Neurospora crassa OR74A: one gene and its partners. The protein of the gene in region 3 interacts with the protein of the main gene of each other region in a biochemical or structural test. Links are inferred from orthologs where the notes say so. Each region holds a gene or a part of one and is shown on either strand. Other genes may lie near its edges.

Region 1 (4,107 bases), on a different chromosome or scaffold from region 3:
TTTCCGGCCTAAGCGGTGGCAGCTTCTTCGATTCCAAGCCCGCCACATCCTCCCACCAATCCAAGCAGTCCATCAGCAGCCCACTGGGCTTCTCATCAACCCCTCCTCCTGCGCCAGCCTCTAAGCCCGCGCCCGCTTCCTCCGCCCTCGGTGACCTGTTTGACTTTTCCACAACAGCTACTGCTACTACCGCTCCTCCCTCGGCCGCCGCCCCGAAGCCTTCATCTGACTTCAGCTCCGCATTCAACCTTTCCAAGCCCGCCGCAACCACGCCGGCCCCTGCAGCCGTTACTTCAACAACACCAAACCCTCTTGCCTCTATTGCGACGTCTAACGCCTGGTCAGATGCAGGTGTATGGGGTTCCAACGAGTGGGCCTCCGCCCCTGAGCCCCCCAAGCCTGCGGCTCCTGAACCGCCCAAGCCAGCACCTGTTACCTCTATCCCTCTTTCTAACGATTTTGGATGGGGCAACAGCACCACCACCTCCTCCACTACCGGCGGCTCCTTCGCAAGCCAACCTATTGTCCCCAGCGCTTCGGGCGGCTTTGCCCCAGCACCAAAGGTGGCGGCCGATGAGGAGTTTGGGGGCTGGATGAGCAGCACTACCACACCAGCTGCTCCGAGCGGATCCAAGCCGGCTACCGGTTTTGGTGGCAGTGACGACCTGTTCTCAAACGTCTGGCAATAAGAAACCTTAGAACGACAATTCAGGGATCTCCGACATGGGGTTCAGAGGTAACCGAGTGCAGTCTACTGGGATTTTTGCTGTTGTCCTCGCGCCTGATGCCGACCATGTAAATATATAATCAACCGGCAGGTGATGTGAGAAATAGCTCGGACAAACTTATACCAAACCAAACCAAACCCATCAAGCGTCCGAACTTGTTTTTCCTTCTATACCACCTGACTGGAAAGGGGATGCTATCCACGAACACCATGTCGTACTTATGCTGTGGGAGTCTGATCTAGTTAAGAGTTAGGCAAATGATGGTTTATGCGTGACAAATAGGGGAATGATGAACAACGCAGTCATTCTTACATCAGCAAGTCATGTTTTGTTTTGGCATATTTACATTATAGACAACAAGTTATTGTTCGTTGGTAGGGCAAAAGTAATGCACTTTTATATAGGATCCTCCTATCTTTTGTAAGGTGTGTGTTGCCCTCATTAATGTCCTTCTGATGTCCTTGAAGTTTCAAAATGAAAAATCAAGGATGAGACTGAGAAATGTCGATGTCTGGCTTATACGACACGACGTATCAATGACAACCTAAGGTACGCAGAAACCAAATCCCAAATAAACAAACAAAACCGAACCGTCAACGCCATTGCTATGCCTTTGCATCTACCCGTCTGTTGTCGAGACAAAACATTAAGCCCAGTCTGTAAACCAAAATCCACACTTCGTTCAGAATCCACCAAAACACAGACCTACGGTCCTGCGTGACCTGCTACCCTCCCACCCATTGCCCCACCCTACATTGCACCTCCTCTGCGCAATACTAGTAGCGGCTTTTGTGGGAGCAAGCGGACTGCACATCGCCTGTACCAGCACTCCAACATCCAACAAGCTATCCGGACAAGCTCCATCCTGTCTTGATGTCCGGCTTCGCACGCATCCGTCTTATCATTCCTGATATTTGTCGGGAATCGAATCGTGCCGCCCTCTACATCCTTCGCCCTGTGTTGTTGTAGTGAACCCGATGAAGAGAACCTCCCTTCCTTTTGCTTCCTGGCATGTATTCGCATGTCGAAGTTCAATAGACCCAATAGACCCAATATTCAAACGACTTTAGCCCTCTCACACGTCGTGACTTTTTGAATCATTTAACCAACAAAAAGTCGATAAAGATAGTAAATGACCAGGAAGCTCCCAATAAGAATACCCGAGAGCTTGAGAATGGCGACCTTGTTCCCCGATGCGGCCATGCGGCCTAGACGGGTGGCGGAACCTTTGAGTTGAGAGCCCATGGAGGAGAAGGTATCGGTCTGTTCGTTGTTGGTGGGACTTGTCAGTTTGTTATTTTGTGCAGAGTAAAATCAAAGGAACCGTACCGTTTGGTCGATAACTTCGTGGTTGCGCGCCTGGTCGTAAATGTCAATCGTTACACCTCGAAGGGCAGAAACCTTGGAGGCTAGCTCGTCGAGGCGCGCATTATTTTGGCGCTCGCGCTCGTAGTTTGCGGACATCTTGATAATGGTAATGGGGGGGGGTTGTGTTGTGGTCGTAGTTGTATGTTGCGACTCGCTCAGCGGCCGTGTGGGAGGTTCACTCGTCAGTTTTGAGTATCGGGTTAATTGGAACTCGCTGATATGGCCCGAGTTTCGTATTATCGAAGATGTTATTACGTGTTATTTTGTCGCGCGCGCGGGGGTCGGCTTCGGTGTCTTGCAGCGTCCGTTGTTCGGAGTGAAGCCGTGGTGTTCCTAGGTATTGCTGAGTGCTATGGGGATGTCAAAAGGGGGTAGGTTGTAGCAGGTTCCAGATGCACTCAGTTCAGGGTCACAATGAAAGGACACCGGGATCATGCATCCATCATGATGGGGGCGGCCGGCTCACTGCAGCTTGTTGATGCATACACCAGCCACAGCTACGGCCTCCTAGTCGCGAATGATGTCAGTTTCGGCCATTTACGTGTGGCTGCGCGTAAAGCACATGCATGGTCAATGCGGGGTCTTTTTCGGGGGGAGCGGAGCCTGCTGGAGCCATTTGATTGTGCTCGTGGTCGGGCCACTGCAACTTTGGGTCCCGTCAGTCAGTCACCTACGTAACGACGAACGCCCGCTCTGCTCTGCCCGCTGGACAAGGCCCGGGTATTCAAAGTGGAAGGTGCAGGGCGCAGGGACGGAGTAAAGTAGAGAAGTAGAGGTACAGTAGTGTACGCTACTGCACAGCCCACGGCGGCAGTGCTTGCCCAAGCCCATCCCAGCGTCTCCAGTGATTGAGGGTCCAGTGCTACAGTTCTCACATGACGCGCGGCACGAGCTCCAGCTTCCATTTCCAAGTACTTCCATTTCAAATGTTGACTGTGATGAATTCCATGCCACTGTTTAGCCTCGCTCATCAGTTACTCCGATCTGTGAAGAAGAGGGAAAAAAACAAACTCTCAAACGGACAGTTACACCAACAAAAGAGCACGCACAAAGGCTTATCCTCCGGGAACAAGATCGTTCATCACGAACAACAAGTGACCCCAAGGATCTCCCCAGCATCTTGACAAACCGCCGTTGTGGGGACGCCCAGGTACCAACCTCGCATTTACTATGTACACAAGAAATTGACCGGGCTGATCTGCTTACTTGCTTGCCTGCCAGTGTGCCTGCAGGCATTGATCGGCCAGTGTCCCGAGAAATGACTGACGAACTCCATCTCTTTCTTTCTTTCTAATATTTCGCTGTCGCTGTCGCATTTCCACGGCATTCTCACCGCAGCCGCTCTACACGCCCTCGCCCTTCAAGACCCGCGCCAGTCCGCTATAGGGAGTTCCGCTTCGACACTTCAAGATGGGTATCAACAACCCTCTTCCGTCGTCACTTTCGTGTGAGTTTGTGTCCCCGGGGTTCCCGTGCTGTGCGAGCCCGACCCCGCAACTCCCCTTCGCTTCGCCGAATCCGACATCCTAACACGTCTGTAACCAGCGGAATGTAAGAAGTGCGGTAAAATCCTCGCCTCCTTCATCGAGCCCAAACAAGCCTTTGGTCCCGACAAGGTGATACCGCCATCAGTGCTCGCGAATGCCAAGGTACGAAACAGCATCCGCAACCTCAACGAAAGCGACCAGGTGGTTAACGTTCTCCTAGGGTCTTGCTATACTCACCGTCATCAAAGCTGGTTTCCTCGGATCTGCCCGTTTCGGTAGCGGCCTGGTAGTCGCCCGCCTCCCCGACGGCAGCTGGTCTGCCCCCACCGCCATTGCTACGGGTGGTGCCGGCTTCGGCGGTCAGATCGGTTTCGAGCTTACAGATTTCGTTTTCATTCTCAACGACGCGAGCGCCGTAAAAACCTTCGCCCAAGCTGGGTCACTTACACTTGGTGGTAACGTTTCGGTCGCGGCCGGGCCTGTCGGTAGAAATGCCGAGGCCGCCGGAGCCGCTTCGCTGAGAA
Region 2 (10,609 bases), on a different chromosome or scaffold from region 3:
ATCTGTGTGGCTGGCTTTCCATGTCTGACCAGAGACGGCCACCGGACGAAACCAGGAGATCGGCGCAATAGCTTCCAGACTTTTGAGAGCTTCGTGACTTCTGGGTCGACAGCACCTGTTTATCTGATGAAATCCTACCTCTATGTAAGTGACTGTAGTTGGTGATGGTCAGCAACTTGCCGGGTATGAGTGTGTAGTGACCCCCCAAAAAAAAGCCCCGGTAATAACGCCATGTGCAGAGTGGAATGAGCGATCTTGAAGCTGAGACGTTCGGACGTTTGGACATTTGCTTTCCAGCGATGGTAAAGGCTCCTGTGTGAACTGGTCAATGCAATCAGACCGAGTAAGTAAATAAGTGATAAGTGTACCTAGAGGTACCTAGAGGTAAGAATGATGAGTCCAGTTGTTCAGGTTCCATGAAATGCTACCTAACAAGATCACTTCTTAGGGCAGCAGCAGCAGCATGTGTACTTCTACATAGCCGCATCCGATCGTGGGGTAAAGCTCAGATGGGGTACCCTACGTACTCACCTGTACACTACACGTACACTGCGCATACGTGCTGGGCACTATTGTACCGCTGCTGTACCTTTAAATACATAAGGACACGAAGGTTTGCTAGGGATCTCATCCAAAACATGGACCGTACTCTGGAGAAGCTGAATTCACGACAATGCACTTTACCACCGCTTAGGTTGGTTAGACGTCAGATCGTAGTGTTCCATACAGAACCAGTAAATCCATTCATCCTGATCTATCATACCTTTGCCGTTTATCCACCGGCATTCATTGAACAACCACAGCATCATCATCACCGAACTTCCCCATCAACGCGCCCTGGATAGCCTCGGAACCTCACGTTAAACTTTTCGCCTACATATACACAGCTAAACCAGGCAAGACGTCGCGGTCCCAGTCGCAGCTCAAATTTTGCATGCGATACAATTAACGATCTTCCAACCAACAACTCGAGCAATCCTGCAACGGAAGGCTCGTTAACGACAGAGCCAGTATGTTTTCCATCCTCCCTGACCTGGCCCCGCGCGATGTAAGTCTTGATACCTTATCTCTGTTCTGCTCTGCTCTACTCAGCCCTACCATTCCCACATCACACCTGACCCCTCCAATCCTACCTAGCACTCAATTTGCTTATCACTGCTAACGCCAGACAAACAGTCCCACTCCCTCTGGTACACCTCCTCTCGCAACCCTCTCGCATCCTCAACCTCCAACCTCCTCTCAGCCTTCGACCCATCCTCCTCCTCCACTTCTCCAGAGGGTCTGATTACTACCAACTCACAAACCAGCAACGTTATCCCTGGGACGACCACTGGCAGCAATCACGTCCACGGCCACAACAGCCGAAATGCCTCCCGCAACATTCAAGCCGCCATCATCGAGCGCTCCCTGCTCGGCCGCCTTCGCGCCGACGAGACGTACATGGAGCGCCGCAAAGCCAACGTGAGCAACCTGGGTAGTACCTGGCTGAAGCCACTTGGTGTGAGCAAGACGTTGTTCCAGATGCGCGAGGAGGAGCGCGAGAGGCAGGAGCACGAAGAGGCGATGCGGCGCGAGGAGATGCTGGCTGGGGAGCTGGCGGAGGCGGAAGCGGCTGCTGCTGCTGCTGCTGCTGCCGGTGGTGGTAACATCGGTGCTGTTGTTGGTGTTGGTGATGGGAATGGGACTACGGTGTTGGAGGAGGTTGCTGGCGTGGAAGGAAGGGACGTGGGAAATACGAATAGAATTTCTGGTGGTGCTGATGATGGTGACATGGAACTGATGGGGGGTGATGATGACATGGATGAGATGGGAGGAAGGGATTTGGACGAGGACATTCCGGATGCGGACGAGGGTGGGTTTGGATATGATGGGGCTAGCGATGATGACAACGAAGAAGACGAGCAAGAAGAGGAGGAGAATGATCAAGCAGAGGAAGAAGAAGAAGAAGCCACCACCGAACGAAACACCACCACCGGCGATCATGGGAACGACGACGAAGACACAGTCGAAGCCCCACAAGCAGCATCAACAGCAACGGGCACCGGCTCCTCCATCCTCCATCCCCGCGGGCGCAACGACAACAGCAATATTCACCAGCAGCAACAGCAACAGCGCGAGCTAGCCAACGTGCGTGCCAACGAAGAACGCATGCGCGAGATGATGGCCCGCGGTGGTCTCCGGCCCACGCACGTCAATCTAACCGATGGCGCCGCAGACGAAGACGACGACGTTGACGAGGAAGACCAAGCTCACATGCTAGAGGAGGACGACATCATCGGCTCTCACAACAGCGGAGAATATGCGGACGAAGACAGAGGCATGACGGACGACAGTCTAGGCATGAACGCCAACCTAGATGACGACATTCCAGAGGCGGACGAGGAGCGTGCGCAAAGCGGTTTCTATGAGCATACCGATTCCGAGGCGGAGCTTCTTGACAGCAGTGATAACGAGGGAGGACAAGAGCAAGTCGGTACAGGTGCAGGCATCGGCATAAGCAGCAGTGGTAGCGGTGGTAATATGAGCGGCAGTCACAGACGCGCTCACCGGGTTAGCTACGGACCTGGTTCGGCAGCGGGATCAGCGCAGGGCCAGCATCGCCGCGTATCACTGCCAAGACAGCAGCAGCAGCAGCAGCAGCGGCTGTTGAGGACTAGTCTTGCGGGAAATGCCAGGCGGAGCACAATTGGAGCGCCAAGGAGCAGTCTGGATATCAGTGGGCTGTTGTCTGTTGATGAGAGTAGTCCCATGATGAGAAGCAGTCCAAGGGTGAGGAGGTTGCACTAGAATGAAGGTCCGCGGTGGTTCGGAAAGAGAAACAAGGGAGGATTAAAACTGAGGAGTTGTGGTAGGAACGGTCAGCAAGCATCATTCAATAACAGGTCGTTTGAGTCTGGCGCATGGAGTCTTGGGATCATGGCAGTATGGGTAGCTACTTGGTGGCTTGGGAAGCAGGATTGAATAGATAATGTCCGTCAAAAGACAACTTTGATCTTCGTTACAGCAATGGTCTGGTCTATGCAGTGGTAGTCTACACGCAGTTCTGATTAACTGTCTGTTATACGCTCAATGATTATCCACTTCACGTTTGTGGGAGCCCATATATAGCTTCATGATTGATCAGTGGATTAAACCAGATAATTGAACCTCATTGGTTGGAGAACGGATTAAGAATGATTAAAATAATTAGGTACCACAAAAAAACCAAAAAAAACCGACTTCTGATACTACCCGAACGACTTAACAAACGCGAACTCCCCGGCGCCAGCATGCAAAAACCAAGTCCGCCCGCAATCTACCAAGGGCAACCCATATCCATGCCTTTTCTATCCCACAAGGTAGTCAGCCACTTTGACCTAGAACCTTCCGTTTTCCTCATCATCCATTGGTATTACCCATCGTTAAAGCCATATATATACTATCCCATCTTTCCTTTGCATATATATGGTCTCTTTTCTCGTTTCCATCATTCTTGAACATATCGCTTTGCCCCGCGCAGCAGCAGCAGCAGCAGCAGCAGCAGCAGGAGGACCACTCCGCCGACCAACATATCCCTCCATCTTTGTCTTTTTCTTTTCTTTCTTTTTCTCTCTTCCAAGTTCAGAAAAACCTTGACCTTGGAAGGATACTAGAGATACCTCACGTAAAAAAAGAGGAACACCACGGCAGCGAAAAAGGCAAGCCACACCCTCCACCCGACATTGGTCTTCTGTGCCATGATGAGCATTCGGTTCATGGTACCACGGAGTCGGAGGCGGGTTTGGTCGAAGGATTCGTTCATCTTCTCGGCGAGGGCGGAGGAGTCTCGAATTTCATCGCCGATGGCTATAGTCATCTGTTTGTGGGGGAGGGATGGGGTTAGTTGATGGGTGGCTTGCGAGAGAAGGAAGTGGGAGAGAGGGAGGAGAGCAGAAAGAGAGAACAAAAACATACATCCTTCAAAATCTTGACTTTACCCATTATCCCTTCCACCTGCTCATCATTCTGGCTCTCGAGTTCGTTGAGGACTGCGTCGCTGTACTGGCCCCTTGAATTTGGAGTAGCAGGCCTAAACCCGCCCCGTTCCATCCCCAGTGTTGACGAGCTGCCGTTATAACTCCCACCGCCACCATAGCCGCCCCCGTACCCGTATCCGCCGCCACCGCCATACCTTGCTGGGCTGGCGTTGGCCGAGCGGCGCTCGGCTGCGCTGGAGCCAGAGTAGCCCTTGAAAAGGTCGCTGCGCGGGTCGCGCTGGTGTAGAGAGGAATGTGCAAATCTGTACTCCGGAGAAAAAGAAAAGCGGACTAATTGTTAGAAGGGTGTTGTCTTGTCTTGTTCGAAGGATTAAGGGGTTGGTGGGATGGGGGTTGTGGTGGGTGGTCAAAGTCGAATCGAGGACGACCCGGGGGCATGGTGGATGGATCGAGTTGACGCTTTCGGTTTCGCTGTCATTCTCGCTCTCGTCGCCAGTGCTGCTGTGGTTGCGCCGCTGTTGCGACTGCATCACATCACGGTAGTGAACTCGTATCGTATCCTACCATGGCATGGTTGGAGGCGTGTTGGCGAGACTCTGAAACCAGAGCGATGACGTAGTTGAGGCCGTCGCGCCATGACCAGGGGGGGCAGGTCGAGAAATCGTGACTTGTCAAACCAACCACCATAACATCGATAGCTGCTGCCTTTGGTCCGCAGATATCTTCCGGTGGCAATATCGTACACCCGTTCACCGGAGCCGGGCAGCTCGGTCGGCCGCTCGCTTCATCGCGTGTCGGTCGTGGGTTTGGTCGAGTTGACAGGCCAAGTCGCATTTCGAAATGTGAAAGGTGGCATTTGCGTGTGGTGTGGTGCAATGCTAAGACGAACGTACAAGAGAATCGCACTCACCTGGAAGCCATCATGGAGAGCAAATTTAGGTCGATCCGTCTTCGAGAATCCTGACAGGTAAATGCTAGCTAACTTGTAAGAGTGTGGGTAGGTATTAGAGATGATGAATTGGCAGGTTCCATAGAGGTAGCGTCGGGCGGGGGGTGTGCGGGTGGTGAAGAAAGAAAATAAAGTTGAATGCCCGTGGACCCTTGGCCGCCAGCGCCGGCAGATCCCCCTTTTTAGTTTGGGTGGTTGTTAGGCCTGTTCTGGCCAGATGTTACCTTGGTGCGCCGTCCATGTACATAAACTACAACGTCAGTCCGTGTCTGGGTGATACATATGTAATGGCTAAAAGGTACAATGTTGTTCGTGCCGCATGATGCTGACAAGGACACGTTGATTGAACATCTGGGTTGGTGTCACGTCTTCCTCTCCGAGAGAACTTGACACTATTTTCCCCAATGTATCTGGTTTTAATCATTCAATTTTTCTTTATGTCGGAGGGTTCATGTTCGGCGTTGTTCAAAGTCCCTCCGAGAGGTGCCCGTGTTGCTTCCACTGATATTGGCTAATTGGGCGTTCAGCGTCTCCATTCTTCCTCTACCTTTTTTTTTTTTTTTTTTTTTTTTTTTTTCTCTCTCAGCTTGTCGCGTCAGCAATAAGTTGATCCACGTTAGATTGCGCAAGGCGCATAGACTCAAGTATGGACTTATTGAAGCGAATCTAAGCCCAAATCCGAGACTTTCAGAATCGTTGAAGCTTTCCAAGTCGAAGGCATGCATTCTCACAGATGTTGGCGTCAAAGAAGCTGGTGTATGGTACTGCGTAGAATACCCGGTGGATCAGGCCAAGATCGCGAACCTTGTTGGTGGCTGGTGCGATGCTCCGGTTCCTGACGTCTGCTGTGTACTCCAGGAACAGGACCGATATCAAATCTCGATGGTCATAGCAACTCTAGAATTCGCCGGAATATTACCTTTTCATAGGTCAGCCGTAGACATATCACCCCCTTCAGGCTGCCTCGCGGTTAGTTTAGTGGCACCCCATCTCAACAGGCCAACTGCCCTTGAGCTGACAGGGGAATCATCCAATGTCTCCACTTATGGGGGTTAGGTTAGTGAAGACAAGCGATCAAGCGTATTCTGATACACCAACGTACGTAGTATGTTGATACTTTGAAATTGGCTGACAGAAGAGATCGGTCTACCTGAACTGATAAACGAATGATCACTTACACCCTTATCATGTATTGCCAAATTCTGATTGTGGGAACTCCCAACGCATTGAACCAAACAACCCCAGGCCTTATAGCTGACATTCACGTACATAAATAGGTCCAGCCAATCAGGCTTAGCAATCAGCCAAAAGACGGCTTACATCTCCAAGCTCGTGATCATCATAAAACTCAACCACTGGCAGCGAGCAAAGCGCAGAGCCAACGGGGAAACCCAGGAAGAAAGAAAACAAGAATCTGTTGTCATTGTTGTTGTTGTTGTTGTTGTTGTGAACCATCAAAGGAAATCAGAAGATAGCCTCGGACTACTCCTCCATTTCCTCATCCTCGGGCACAAACTCCTCGTCGTCCTCCTCATCGTCCTCCTCGGCAGGCAAGTCCTGAGCGGCCTTGGCATAGTCGATCTCCTTCTGGCGAGTGCGGGGACCACTGATCACATTGCTGGGGTCGATCTCCTCGAGGTTGTCTTCCTCTGTTTTTGTTCATGTTAGTTCCTGTACGTAAGCTGTTGCTGCGCGATCGTCACCCGTGATTGGGCGTTGGCTGATGGATTTAAAGGCAATTAACGTACCAGCTTCGGGCTCCTGCAAACGGAAGGGTTAGCACGGACAATGCGAAGAAGAGTGTTTTGAGAAGCAAGTTTGATGCCTTCAGGATTTAGCTCACCTCAGTCTCATCCTCATCTTCATCATCCTCGTCGTCCTCTGCCTCACCCATGGGGTGGTCCTCGGACTCAGCGGCGGCCTTGCCCTTGCCCTTGCTTTCAAAGGGGGTGTTGGCCTCGGCGGTGCCCGCGAGGGTGGTGTCAGTGGTACCGTTCTCGGTGGACATTTTCGAGATGGATTAAGTAGCAAAAATGGTGATTATTGTCTTTCTTTGCGCGTTGGCGATGGCAGATGGATCCGATCAACAGATTCCAAAAAATGGTTATTAGTTCTTGTTAATGAGGCTGAACGCGACCAAAAGTTGGGTTTGTCAAGAGAGAGTTCCTTTCGCTTGAGAGGTGAAGTCAAGTGGGGGGGAGAAAAGTTCCGAGATGTGATGTTGGGAGTTGGTGGTGACTTCCAAGGTGAAGTTGAACTGTATGGTCCGTTGAGAGAGCGACGAGGGCAGGCGCGCGCAGGGCAATGACATGGGAGCAGCGAACAGCTTCCAAGTACCCACTTTCCAATTATGAGGCGGGCAGCTAGCTTTTGGATCCACTTGCCATCTGGCAGTGGGGCAGTGTGCTAGCCGCGCTAAACTGTATTGATAAGTATCGCCACTAGCAGACAGCTGTTGACCACGATGCAAGGGTACCTCTAGGGGCCGTGCAGCAGGCAGCTAGCAGGGCTCCTTGCTTCGGCACGCAGCGTCCCCGTCCAACCTGCCAGACACTGACGCAAGGGACAGAGGAGTCACCAGCTGGAAGCTCGGTGATGAGGAACGCGACTGAATCGGAAGTCTCCCTGTACTACCTCTACAGTACAAACGGCCCGGTTATGAGAAGAGTACCTAAGTAGGTAAGGTAAGGGTTTCAAACACGACAGGACGGCGAGGAGCACTGCGAGAAAAATGGCAATCAATACAACCAAAACGCGCGAAACGAACATCCTCACCCAAGAGATGAAATGCATAGCAAAGCTCTGTACAATGCTTGACCAGGGAAGGAAAACAATGTGGCCAGTCTATTACTTCCCATCGCCTCCGCCTCCCAGGGAGAGGACCATAACAATGGCAATAACCCACCAGTACCTGTAGTGCAGCAAACCAGCTCGTCAGCAATCAAAGCCCTCATCTCAGTGGTATCAGAACGTGGGAAGGGAAGGAATTCAATATACTTTTGTAAAAGTGTCTTCTCCTGCGGCACCACCTGTTTGCCCTCTGGCGACAGCACGACCGGCTTGTTCAACTCCGGCTGCTTGCCCTGCGCTGTGCGGACCACCACCGCTTGCGGCCCAAAGTCCCTTGTCTGTCCGGCATCGATCCTGATGCCCTTGAACGCGACGCCCAAGACGTGCTGGTTGTCATAGCTACCCTCGGTATTGCTCTCGTCCACTGATAGCACGATATGTGGCGCGTACCCCTTGCCGAAGTTTTCTGCCGATATGACCGACGTAGACGACACCCACTTGTTTTCCGCCTTGTCGTACACGCCGATACGTAGGAGCTCGTGGCCTCGCAAGTCGTCGAGGATCTCAGGCGCTTCGTAGGCAGACACCACCGGTGCTACCGCGCTGCTTGGGTCTTGTGCGGTGTCGTAACTGACTTCGGCGAGGAAAGATGGCACAGAGGAGGAGCTGACGGGCTGGATATAGATTGGAACGGTGATGACCTGAGCCGTTGCGGCCGTTGCGGCGACCAAGAGCGCCGACGCAAGCGACGCGAGAAGCCTCATGGCGGATCGAGGATTGTCGAGAGCTTGTCGCCTGTGTGGTTGCTACAGTCTTCCGAGATAGTTTTTGCTTCTGCTTGGAGGAGACGCAGATAGTCACCAAGTATGAATAGTGAGAAGATGCTGCTATCGCGCGAAGAGAAGCGGACAACTTAAGTCATGAAGAATGACGAAAATGGAGCCACGACTGGAATGCTTGGGCCTCAACTTGTGCTGTGGGTGTCGGTCGTGTAGTAAAAGGTGGGTCCCGGTGTTGACCCTTGGCATAGGTTGCCCGTTTCTGCGGGTATTGGAAGCCTGGTGGGGTCTTCATCCGGTCCAGGACCGATCACCAGGGGCAGCGCCGGTTGAGAGGGCCCGACATCCGGTCTATATTGGCGGTTTGGACTTTCGGTACGTCCTGAATCGACACCGATACCGTTTCTGCCCGGATCAGTGTTATAAGACGTATCGATCAGGAGAGAAAGACATCTGAGTAGAAAGAGGAAATCTGTTCTCAGTGGTATCTACCAAAAGTGCTATTCCTACAAGAGTGCCAGGTAAAGGAACAGCCCATTCAATTCCCCCACCCAAAAAAAGGTTGCTGGTTCGCCGCGGTGCTTCATAGGATACACCAATCATCTCATATCTGTCATGCTGTCATGATCTCCCTCTCAATCCAGGCGTTGTAACTCGAACGTAGTGTTTGGAAGGGACGGGAGCAATACTCTTCCAGCTTGAGTCCTTGCTGTCTTCGATAACCAAGATCACATTTCTTCCAATGTGTCCACACCCTCCATATAATTCCCGTTATCTCCATTTGATATCCCATTGCTTCCTTCCCGCAGGCAGATTGCCCTCAGACAAGCCCCGACAATTCAACAGGCGCCTCAAGGTCTTTTGCTTTTCCGGCAGATACTTCCCCGTCGCGTTTGTCCGAATGATCTCTGTTGGTTTTCTTTTTTGCGCCCTTCGTTGGTTTGATTCCCTATATACTCTATTGTTTTTGTCTCCCGCCACGTCCCGTTGTTATACACCAGCTCCACATCGGACATGACTGATCGATTTGAGCCGAAAAACACCTTGGTTACGTGGCATGTCTATCCCTTTGGCTTGAACTCGTCTCCTCTTCTCTTTCTCCTCCTTCACCGTCTATATCGTCGTCGTCGTCGCCTATTGCATCGCTTTCGTCTAGCTCTTCATCTTCATCCTCGTCGTCTGCTTCTTCTGGTTCTGGGCATTCCAGTATGTATCCTGGACATCTGGCCACAAGTCCACCATAATATGCCACAAGGACGTCAGGGTCGGGCACGATCTTCCAGTCGACGCGGTGGAGGAATTCCAACTCGAGCATGTTAAGTTCCGCAACTCTGACACCTCCCACTCTCGCATATAGTGTGTTGGTCAAGAAGGAGTCTGAGAGCCCCTTGGCGGCAACGGTAGCGGCTGTTATGAGAAATCGATGAACGGTAAGTGTGTTAATGGTGAAGTCCGAGTATAGTGCGCAAAGGCGGTCGATATAATAAACCATGGAGAGAAGTATTGGTGGTGACAGATAGGCATGTTTTGCGAGTCGGTGGAGATAATCCAAAACCGATATTCCAGGTGTCGTTCTATGAATTTTCATGTCAGCAGCTTGTCCTTTCATCCGCATCATCATCAGATCCAGGCAGTTTGGGGATTGAAGGCAGCCTACCGGGAGTGAAACCTCGTAAGGTTATGACGCTGCCCCACTTTCTGAGCCGCTTCGTCGTTAAGTTCAATAAGCTCGCCCAGCATGTGCGCAATAAGCACAACCAGGTCTTCGACTGGACAGTGCTCATATCGCCGGGACACAATTTTGGGCGCTAATCTCGCGCGCTTAGGGGAGTGCGGACCGCTTTGCCCGGCGCTCGCCGCTTCAACTTGGTTGTGGGTGACGTCGCCTTGCGAGTTTCTCCTCTTCACGGGGGTACCTGTCTGAGGAGTATGTGACAACGGATGCGGTTGGGGCGCCGCTGAGTAGACCCCAGGAGTCGGAGGCACCGCTACGGCCACTGTCGGGCCATGCGGAATGGGAGCAGCGGTAGCTTCTGATGTGGAGGCCAAGGCCGAGGCCTGCTCCTCGTGGGAAGCCATGGGCCCGACGGTGTTAGGTATATGTGAAGGCCGGGACTCGATTGAGCCTCGGGCGA
Region 3 (10,021 bases):
GGCCATTAACCCACTACATTCCCCGAAAGAAGGAATTCAAGACCAGGAACCTACTTGCGGGCAAGGAGGATGCTGTTGAGGAGGCGGAGGAGGTGGAAGTAGAGCAACCATCGGGACCCATCATCACCAACTACTACCACCCCAACATTTCGCTCTCCTTCATCCCCAATACCGGTTCCATGCCTTTTGCCCAAACACACCCAGCTGTCCGCCAGTTTCTCCGTCTCGAGGCCACCGGTGCAAGGGACGGCACCGGTCAGAACACTTGGTACTACCCGATCCTCTTTGTCAATACCTTCTGGCAGCTTAAGAGTCAGATGACCATCATCAACGAGACGATCAAGACCATGCCGATGCGCATTGATCTAAACAACCTGGCGGAATGGAAGTTCAAGACCATGGCGTCTATCGACCTCAGCGCCAAGGAAGCGGCGCGTGCGGCGGCTTTCGGAAATCCCCTGACCACGGGCAGCGATGGTAGCGAGATCGAAATGATCAAGGAAATCTTGCTGGATTCGAATCCCATCCTCCTCGGAGTCACTATTTTTGCCAGTATTGCGCACATGATTCTCGAAACGCTTGCGTTTGGTTCCGACATTGCTCATTATCGCAAGAAGAAGGACAACGTTGGCATCTCGGTGCGCTCCATCCTCGCCAATGTGTTCATGCAAACCATCATCTTCTTGTATCTGGTCGACCAGTCGCAAAATACTAGCTGGATGATTCTCGGTTCTCAGGGCGTCGGTATTCTCATCGAGTTATGGAAGATTACGACGGTGGTTAACGTGCGGATTCGGCCTGCACCCGGATCCATCATACCATACCGTATTTCCTTTGAGGACAAGCATAAGCTCAGCGAGACAGAGGAAAAGACCAAGGAGTACGATGAGATTGCTTTCAAGTACATGTACATGGCGGGCGTTCCTCTTCTGATGGCTTATGCTATCTACTCGCTGATCTACGACACCCACAAGTCGTGGTACTCATTCGTCATCGCCACCCTTGTTGGCTCGGTTTACGCCTATGGATTCCTGATGATGGTTCCCTCGCTGTACATCAACTATCGTCTCAAGAGCGTTGCTCACATGCCTGGCAAGGCCATGATGTACAAGTTCCTCAACACCTTCATCGACGACTTGTTTGCTTTCACCATCAAAATGCCGTTCCTCCATCGCCTTGCTACGTTCCGCGATGATATCATCTTCTTTATCTATCTGTATCAGAGATGGGCTTACAAGGTCGACTACACCCGTGTCAACGAGTTCGGACAGGGTGGCGAGGATGACGCCGTCGAGGAAAAGAAGGCGGAGGGGCAGAAGGCGGCATTTCATGCACCGACTGAAGAACAGACTGTGGGAACTACATCCGCGAAGGCTAGCGGAACGGAGACTGGCAAAGCGAAGAAGAGGAAGTGAAGCTGACGAAGCACGATATCGGACCCGGTTTGGTATCAATTTATTCATGGGAAATGGGGTTCAGCATCTTGGAGAATGGCGCCAAACATCCCAGCAAAGATAGATCAATGTTAATACAGAATGAATTCTTCACCTGTTGGGGAGCTGGTGCTTCTTGTGGATGCTTGGGTCTTGGATGCACCCACGGCTGATCAATGAGTGATGAGCCTGTATTGTGAGAGATGGGCGTGTGCCGAACTGCAGTCATAATGTCGTAAAAATATAGGGATGTGTATCGATACCTCCATGTAACAGTCCAAAAGTGTCCATTGTTGTACCCACCATGCTGTCGGTCATTCCCGAGCACCTCTGGTTAGGTTGTAGGGCTGAGCCTTTGGTAGGTTGCAACCGTTATCCATTGGGTACCTAGTAAGATACTTTCCCCTCCCCGCCGTCGAAGCTGGAGGCTACAAGCAGAGGTAGATGTCATCGCTAAAAGCTGGTTTTAGGAAACGAAGGGCTTCCTCGGGGAATCCCACCTAAAATTAACGGAGTCGGATGTAGAGAGGCCTCCATATGGGCCTCTAGTGTACCGACTCTAAGCACCTAGGGAGAAATGCTCCCCGCCAAGATCTCCACGATTTCCACGTTTCGCAAACAAAACCGTCCCCGAACCCCCGTCCCATTCATTGATTACCCATTCAGATGCGCTACTACAGCAGGGGGCCTGGCCCTCCCATCACCAACAATACGAGTCAAAATAACCCTAGTTGATGAGCACCTTGCTGTCCTTTTACAGGGTTCCGTTTTGAAGAGTTTGGATGGCACCCGTTGTTCCGCTGCCACACTGCAGCAACTTCTCCCCCGACCTGATGCAGCTTCCTGTGTTGTGTTTGTACGTAGTGGTAAGTACCTACCTAAGGTAGTGTACAAAAAGGCAGCGGACTAGCTTCCACGTCTGCCTGTCTCCGCCAAGGAGAGATCCACAGGGCCCTTCCAATAGCCTAGCAGTGCCCGACATACCTCTAGAGGAGGTAGGTCCCGCCGGCGTAACCGTCGGATCGTATCCAAGCGCCCGGGCCCCGAACCCCCGTTGCACGACGATTCGACATCCATTGATCCATCCCCATTTCCTTCCTGGGCGACCGAGTCTTCCTTCCATGTGATGTTTCGTTCCCTGGCTGGCCCCTTTCTCACATGTCCAACTCTGTGATGAAATCCTTCTTCAGCTCATCCGTACTTACAGCTACCGGATCGGGGCTCGGTGTATCCACTTAATGACGACGCAAGACAACACTTCATCGCTGCGCATTCGTAGATACCTACCTCCTAGACGGATAGTCTCACCTACAAGCCCCCCAAGCTCGACTTCTGTTAGTGACGAGAGTCTCGTTGGTAGTCCAAGTCTACATCCACTCGCGGTCATCTACTGCTATTAAAGCGGCATTGAGCATACGCTAGGCGAGGGGAACCAAGGCCAATAATAAGCGCTTGAACACGACGACACGACGATAACGGCTTAGACAAAGGATATCAACGGGAGGAGGTGGAGGGGGATCCGATATCAAGAGGTCATAGCCAGCAAAGCAACCATCGCCAAAAAAAGATATGAGTACAGGTCCCAGCACGAATCACGACACGGTCGGGTCGCTGTTGGCCAGCATTGCGACTCACTTGAGCGACTCACTTCGCGCACTCAGATTTGCCGACAAGCGCCACTGGGGCCCTGACGAGTTTGAACAGATTCGCGCCCTTGAAGAAGCGTTGGATGATGCAAAGACAGATTTTCAGGAACTGGGGCGCTTGGTCAATGGGCAGTTTTACTATGAAGGAGACAGGACTCGTAAGTATACCATGATATCTTGAATCTTTTCTGACCCTCACCGTGCTCTTTCTCAGACTCACGTCATCTTTCCTCTGCTGGTGGCTGACTATTTCGCCTGGCACTTTCACTCACACGCCTCCATCACCATCATCATCACTCCTTTCCTTCCCAAAAATCCCACTCAGATAAAGCTTCTCCTTGCCTGCTCTACCAACTAACCCTCTCAAAAAGCCGAGTCCCTCAACGAATTGCGTGCCCTCCTGGTCAAATATGAATTCCACGCCCGCAACTACAAAGACTGGATTCGGCAAGGTGGGCCGATCAACCCAACTTGGCTCAGCGAGACCAAGGAACTCCAACTAGAGCTTCACCGCACGCAATGCCGTGCCTCTCGGCGCATATTCGCGGCCGAGCAGGAAGGGCCGTGGACACGGTGTCTGGGTGCCTACCAGGTGTATCGCCAGCAGCGAAGAAACGAGGAAACTGAGCGGCTACGGAAGCAGAAGGAGGAAGAGAAGCGGGAAAAGGAGATTAGGGAAGGGGGAAGCAAGCAGAGGGACCTCGAAAGTATACCGCCGTGGCAACGACATGAGTATCAAGATCAGCAGCATCCGCAGCAACAACAACAACAACAACAGCAACAACAAAACCGTACAGGGACAACGGACGAGGCATTACGGCCGGCGTTGAGAAGGGGGAGGAGGCTAAGCCTTGAGGATCTGGTTCCATGTTGCAACGCGGTTGGGAGGTTCGAGAGGTTTGGGGAGCACGACGTGGCCTTTGTATGCGACTTTTGCGACGGGTTCATCGTCTGGCCGGATCTACAGAGGATGCCATCTACGAGGGCGGCGTTGGATAAGACGAATGGAGGGAGTGCAAGTACGACAGCAAGTTTCCCGACATCAACGACGATAGCGAGAAACTCTCCAAGAAAGCTCATACTACCGACCATAGTGACGGCCTCATATCCAGCAGCAATTCTGCCATCGTCAACCATCACTACCACCACCACCACCACAACAACAAAAGAAGCACAGACAGAGACAACAACAGCAACAGAAAACACATATCCCCACTGGCAAGCCCAAGGCGTAAGCGCCAAAACAGGCGAAGCTAAGACGGTCGTTTTCGCGCCCTTAGCAATTGCGAACCACATTGCCCCCGTCCCTGGCGATTGGCTGGCGAGGATATGGTGTCCCTACTGCGACGAATACACGTACGTGGACCAGGGTGAGGACAGCGAGGACGAGGTCAAGTGGGCACAGGACGAGAGGGGGTTCGAGGACTTGGCCAGCTTCCAGGAGCATTTGGAATGGTATCATACGGCGTTGCCGGTGCCGAGTATACCGGCGTTATTGCCAAAGGCGGCGGGGAGTTGTTTGATTATGTGATTGAGGCTTGCGGGTGCGTGTGCGGGTGGTTCAAGCTTGGGCTTAGTGTCCAGGGTGTCGGTTTATGTTCTGGATTGAGAACAACAAAATTGAAAAAAAGAAAAAAAAAAAAAAACGGGTTTGGAATTGGAGTTTGGGGGGGCAAGAGCTTCTACTTCAAGTAGGGAAAGAGACCGATAGGCTATCTCAGATGGAGATTTTGTATCATCGCTTGACAGAAATAGCGTGTCGAGCAGAAGAGATGCCGGTCTGGAATGAACCAGGAGATACGCATGATTGAGCATCGGTGACACTGTGGTACAGTCATCCATAGAGACCTTGTCAGGCTTTAGGAAGGCATCGGATGAAGGAGTGGAAAGCAGGAACCTATAAGCAACATGTCTTGATAGCTGAAACCTCACCTGGCCAAACGTCCTTTTGCGTTTGCCCCCCTTTCCCCCCAACCTCCTTTACCCAAACTCCATGCTAGGTCAAGCGCCAAAAACCAATGCCCTACAAACACATATTAAAATAATTACAGAATCCACGTAGGCTATCCGTCACAGCATCATACAGAGCCAGGCTGACTGAGGAAACCCACCCGACGGTATCATGCTAACCCGCTACCGGTGATGCTCCCTGCCTGGGATGCACTCAAAAGAAGAATCTCCACCACAAGAAGAAGATGATAATGGAACCGACCGCCGCAAAGGGGCCGTACTGCTTCAGCAGCAAATCCCAGTTGATCTTAACAGCCGCCCTCTTGTACTTCTTGCTATCGTCCCTCAGCCTACTGCTCAGCTCGCCCATGCGCTCCAGGCTGTCGCCGCGGTACAGCAGATCCTCAATGTTCTTGGTCATGACTTTGGTCACGTCCCTAAGCTCATCATGCAGCTTATCCAGGTTCTGAGTCGCACGCGTGTCGCTGTAAGTCGCCTTGGTGCGGCTGATGAAGCTGTCAAAGTCCATAAAGGCATAGGGCCGCAGCGTCGGGTTCATGAGCTGTGCCGGGGTGTGCGTCGTCGCGAACTCGCCCGCAATGTCGGAAAGGTAGGTGAAGGCTAGCTTGCGCGGGTACGACCGGTCCGTAATGGCGAAGTATACGATGTCGGACTGAATCAGGTAGTGCAGCGTGTAGAGAGAGCCGCTCTCGATGCTGGCTTGCGGTTCCGAGGTGCGCGTTAGGCGGCGCAGAATTAGTTTGACTTGGGACTTGACTTCGCTGAGGGAGGATTCAGTTGCTTCGTCGTCGACGGAAGCGCAGAGCATGAGGCCTGTGTTTTGAGGGGAGGGGTCTTGGTTAGCTACCGGACAAGACATTGACATCTCCATAGGCACACAGATGTTGGTCGAGGGGGTTAGTTAGGGGGGGGGGGGGGGGGGGCACGAACCATCCAGCCGTGCAATTTGTGTTGAGCGGATCATTGTGAAGAATAGGTTATATCACTCCTTTTTCATTGTGTTGTTTTTGGCGACCTTTAGTATCGTTGTGCAACTCGAAATCAAGGCCAGTTCAGTTGCGTGCTTGGATTTGTTAAGTTGGTGTCGTTGGAGAGGACAGTGAACAAGGCAAGGTTTATAAAAGCTTGTGATGACGAGTGGGAGTGATCCGTCAAAAGCAGCCAGGTACGTGGCTTCTACCTAGGTACCGCAACCAACTCGCACCGACGAATTCTCTTGTTCAATTGCATGCTTCTTTCCCTGTCGACCAGCAGACCAGATTGTAATTCGCTATCCTCTTTCTTGTTTTTTTTTTTTCTTTACATGGCTATATAAAGAAAACAAAACATTACCCGTAGGTAGAGTGATGCAATGATTTCGCCAGGCCAACGTGTGTTTCCTTATCAAGGATTACAAGTCGTCAAACGGGACACTGATGACGGTACTGCCGCTGGAAATGTGTTGAAAGTTCACCCTGCAGGGCCTGCAAGTTAGTTTTGTTTAGGTAGTTAAATAGTGCGAGCAGGCAGTCTCGCCCGGCCCGCTATTCACGCCTACTATGCAGTATGTACAAGCTACCTCTAGCTTCCGGGGTGTGTCATGCAAGTGGCTGCCCGGGCTTGGCGCCTTTCAGCTTCCATCCCCACCCATCCTGTCCATCACACAACGACTTGAAGAAGGAGCATCTTCAACCGAACAACATCGGGGAAGGGGAGCTGGAGGTGGAATATCTACCTACTTACCTAGAGGTACCTATCATTCATCACAGTCAGTATAATCCCCCTCCCAGTTCAGAGTGGTGGTTAGATCAAGTTCAGTTCCACCTCGTTCCCTCGCACATCCTCCCAACCTTGCGCGTCAACTTGTACTCAAGGTAGTACCACTTCGGTTCGTTTCGTTGACCACATTTTCACCTGAACGCATCTCATTCTCTACTTTTATAAACCCCCCACTTTCTCCCCTCCCTTCCACCAGACATCAGTTTGTTCGCAGATGTAACCACAGCCATATTGGCCGCATGAACCATCATTGACTTACGAAAGACAAACGGTGACTTTCACGGCGCCATTCTGCCAGTTTCTGCTATCTGGTATTGTTTAATATCACAACAACTAAGTAGTTCCGGATCTGTCTAGATCCAGATCTGACTTGACGGTAATTTTTCCTTTGCCGGCAAACCCACACTGCCGCGTTCGATCACTCCTTGAACAACTTCAACACGCAATAATTATCTTTCCAGAAAGGCGACTAACTGAAGGTGTCCTGAAGGATGGCTGAAGAAGGAAGTAGTTCTCCGCTGTCCTCCGTCCTCTCTTCTCCTCCGGCCTCACCTCCCCGGAGCGTGAGTGGGGACTGGGATGCTATCCTTGTCCAAAAGATTGATACTGCTGCGCAGGTGACTTTGGAGGAGATAGCAGCCGAAAAGTCAACGGTCGAGGAACCAGCAGTTGAGGAACCAGCAGTCGAGGAACCAGCAGTCGAGGAACCAGCAGTCGAGGAACCAGCAGTCGAGGAACCAGCAGTCGAGGAACCAGCAGTCGAGGTACCAGCAGTTGAGGAACCAGCAGTTGAGGAACCAGCAATTGAGGAACAAACAGTCGAGGAACCAACAGTCGAGGAACCAACAGTCGAGGAACCAACAGTCGAGGAACCAACAGTCGAGGAACCAACAGTCGAGGAACCAACAGTCGAGGAGCCAGCAACCAAAAAGACAGCAACCAAAAGGTCAGCAACCAAAAGGTCAGCGGCCAAAAGGTCAGCAACCAAAAGGTCAGCGGCCAAAAAGCCAGCGGCCAAAAAGCCAGCAGTCGAGCAAGGATATGTCAAGGAGCCAGAGGTTCAAGGACCTGAAGAACCTGAAGGAGAACCGGCCACGCCGTTGGCGGCACCAAGTGCTTGCCCTGAAAACAAGACAGAATTTCGACCATCTGATCAGTTAGAAGCTCAGCAACCAGAAGAGAAAGGGTCTACATCCTGGGCCGCCATAAATCTCCCACCACCGAAACTACGATCAGTCAATAAACCAGAAGTTCCAACACGTGAAGAAGAACCAATTGCTCCATCAGCTGCGCCAAGTTCCGTTCCCAAGAAGAGAAAATCATTGCCTGAAGCAGTCAGTTCTAAAGAGGGTGTGGCTGATTCACGCAATATCCTCAAACCAAAACTGACGAGGGGCGCGTGTACTCCTTGCCGTGAGAACAAGCTGAAGGTTGGTCGGAAACTCTGGATATTCCCCGATTGTTTTTGTGTCTGACAGCTGCGATAGTGCCTAAAAGAGAAGCCAATCTGCTCACGATGTTCTGGATCTGGCACGCATTGTGTTTATGCTTTTGAACAGCCGCGAAAAGGAGTTTCAGCAGCGGCTCGCTCAGTTTCGTTCAAGGCTGAGGCCGTTCCAGCGGATGTAGGCGAGCCAAAAGCTTTGAGTCCGCAGGATGCGCATGCGGATTCGGCAGTACAGGACCTGGAAGTTGAGAAGGAAATCGCCACACCGGCAATTAAAGCAGCAACAGTCGCCGATTCCTCGATCAATGGACAGGGCTTCAAAGGTCCGAAAAATGAGGACCCAAGTACAGTGACGAAAAGGGCACGCAAAAGGGCAAGTGGGCAAACGCCAGAGGAAGCCGTCCTTAAAACCGATGCATGGAGTTCGAAAGCTACACGTCATTCTGGAAGCAGTGATGAGCAGCTGGGTACTGAGCTCGGAAAGCGTAAAGCCTCGGACCAGGACAAATCTAGCACTACTAAAAGGCCACGACATGCCGGAGATGCACCAAAGAAAACAAACCTGGACAGAAAGTGGGAAGCACCTTTCGTCTATACCGATGAGAAATCACCTCTTACCAATGCTGATCTCAGAGTTCGTACCTCTTCCCTCTCACAAAAATTATCCCACATCCATGATCTGACACTTGACCATAGGCGATTCTGCTGCTTCCACGAGCATGGGATGTGTTGACACCAGATGAGAGGAAAGACATCCTCGCTAAATTCCCCGACGACAGCCATATCTTGGACCCAGGGACCGAGATTGCCCGACCGGATCTTGTCTCCTTGCGCAACAACGATCACTTCAGATATGATTGTGCTCGGTACCTTGAAAACATTGAGCGGGGTCGACATGATGAACAATGGCTTCAGGAGGCCTGGGTCGCTCATGAAAAGCACAAACGAGGCGACTATGACGATTTTCTGATAAAGGAGTTTGAGAACGACTGGGCAACAAAGATACCAGCGGAGTTGCTCCAAAAGACCAGCCGTAAGAATGAGACGCTCGCGGCAGATGCTGTAGCAGTGTCCGAGAACAAGGCAATAGCAAAGGAACAGCATAAGGGTAAAGTTGATGTTCGCACATGATGACAATGTTTTGATACTAATCGAATGCCAGCTCTTCCTGGACGCATCAAGAGCGCTTCAGTGATACAAGAAGTACCTCCTGCCGATACAGCATCTGTTGTTATGGCCGAGACGAATACGAACCATATCGCTGATTATCACCCTAACGGCCTTGAAGAATCCAATACGAATGGGGCACGGTATACTGAACTACGGTTCGAAGTACCACACGAGGTTGATTGATGCTTCTGCAAAGCAATAGAACACAGAATACCAGCGAGGAAGACGTATTCCGATCTTTGTCTATGACGGGTCCCGACTTTGAAGCACCGCCGTATTTACCAGTAATTAATATACCACCCCAACTATGAAGGATGTACAGATCTCAGTCACTTGAACGAACTAGGGCGGTAATTCGGGAAGCGTAAAGTGACCACAGTCGCAGGATAGAGATCCAGGGCTACGAATGCATGATAATATTTGGAAGAGCGCAATTTACGGCGGAGAAAACATACGTAGAGTCAGGTTTATGTAGTATCCCACCCTTTCTCGGCACCCTATTTCGGAAACATGGACAACTGAGCGTTGTAACACGGAATGAGGCCGGAAGAGAGAATCACAAATCTCTGTTAGTTCCAAGAGGTTTGATGGATAAT

The links.
Region 1: the proteins of NCU06708 (region 3) and NCU03889 form a complex in vitro, tested with the Saccharomyces cerevisiae proteins (3 studies listed by BioGRID). The link is inferred for Neurospora crassa OR74A from reciprocal best matches to the Saccharomyces cerevisiae genes SEC22 and SFT1.
Region 2: the proteins of NCU06708 (region 3) and NCU01741 form a complex in vitro, tested with the Saccharomyces cerevisiae proteins (4 studies listed by BioGRID). The link is inferred for Neurospora crassa OR74A from reciprocal best matches to the Saccharomyces cerevisiae genes SEC22 and BET1.

What each region holds. Positions count from the first base shown.
Region 1 is NC_026506.1:2,053,293-2,057,399, reverse strand, and holds NCU03889 (SNARE), read right to left. Parts: upstream 2,801-4,107; 5' UTR 2,193-2,800; coding exon 2,058-2,192; intron 1,992-2,057; coding exon 1,830-1,991; 3' UTR 690-1,829; downstream 1-689. Other genes in the region: NCU03890 (stromal membrane-associated protein), read left to right, coding at 1-689; NCU03888 (DUF500 and SH3 domain-containing protein), read left to right, coding at 3,507-3,543, 3,642-3,745, 3,804-4,107. UniProt on the Saccharomyces cerevisiae protein: Vesicle SNARE required for retrograde transport within the Golgi complex.
Region 2 is NC_026502.1:2,579,976-2,590,584, forward strand, and holds NCU01741 (SNARE complex subunit), read right to left. Parts: upstream 5,096-10,609; 5' UTR 4,881-5,095; coding exon 4,867-4,880; intron 4,259-4,866; coding exon 3,934-4,258; intron 3,836-3,933; coding exon 3,629-3,835; 3' UTR 3,131-3,628; downstream 1-3,130. Other genes in the region: NCU01742 (hypothetical protein), read left to right, coding at 1,013-1,048, 1,177-2,787; NCU01740 (histone H2A.Z-specific chaperone chz-1), read right to left, coding at 6,388-6,554, 6,654-6,666, 6,749-6,913; NCU01739 (hypothetical protein), read right to left, coding at 7,753-7,816, 7,903-8,459; preg (regulatory protein), read right to left, coding at 9,523-10,048, 10,132-10,609. UniProt on the Saccharomyces cerevisiae protein: SNARE required for targeting and fusion of ER-derived transport vesicles with the Golgi complex.
Region 3 is NC_026505.1:4,345,524-4,355,544, reverse strand, and holds NCU06708 (protein transporter sec22), read right to left. Parts: upstream 6,177-10,021; 5' UTR 6,015-6,176; coding exon 5,981-6,014; intron 5,864-5,980; coding exon 5,244-5,863; 3' UTR 4,870-5,243; downstream 1-4,869. Other genes in the region: NCU06710 (ClpTM1 domain-containing protein), read left to right, coding at 1-1,415; NCU06709 (hypothetical protein), read left to right, coding at 3,003-3,237, 3,451-4,610; NCU06707 (uncharacterized protein), read left to right, coding at 7,300-8,238, 8,296-8,889, 8,952-9,363, 9,418-9,608. UniProt on the Saccharomyces cerevisiae protein: Nonessential SNARE involved in targeting and fusion of ER-derived transport vesicles with the Golgi complex as well as Golgi-derived retrograde transport vesicles with the ER.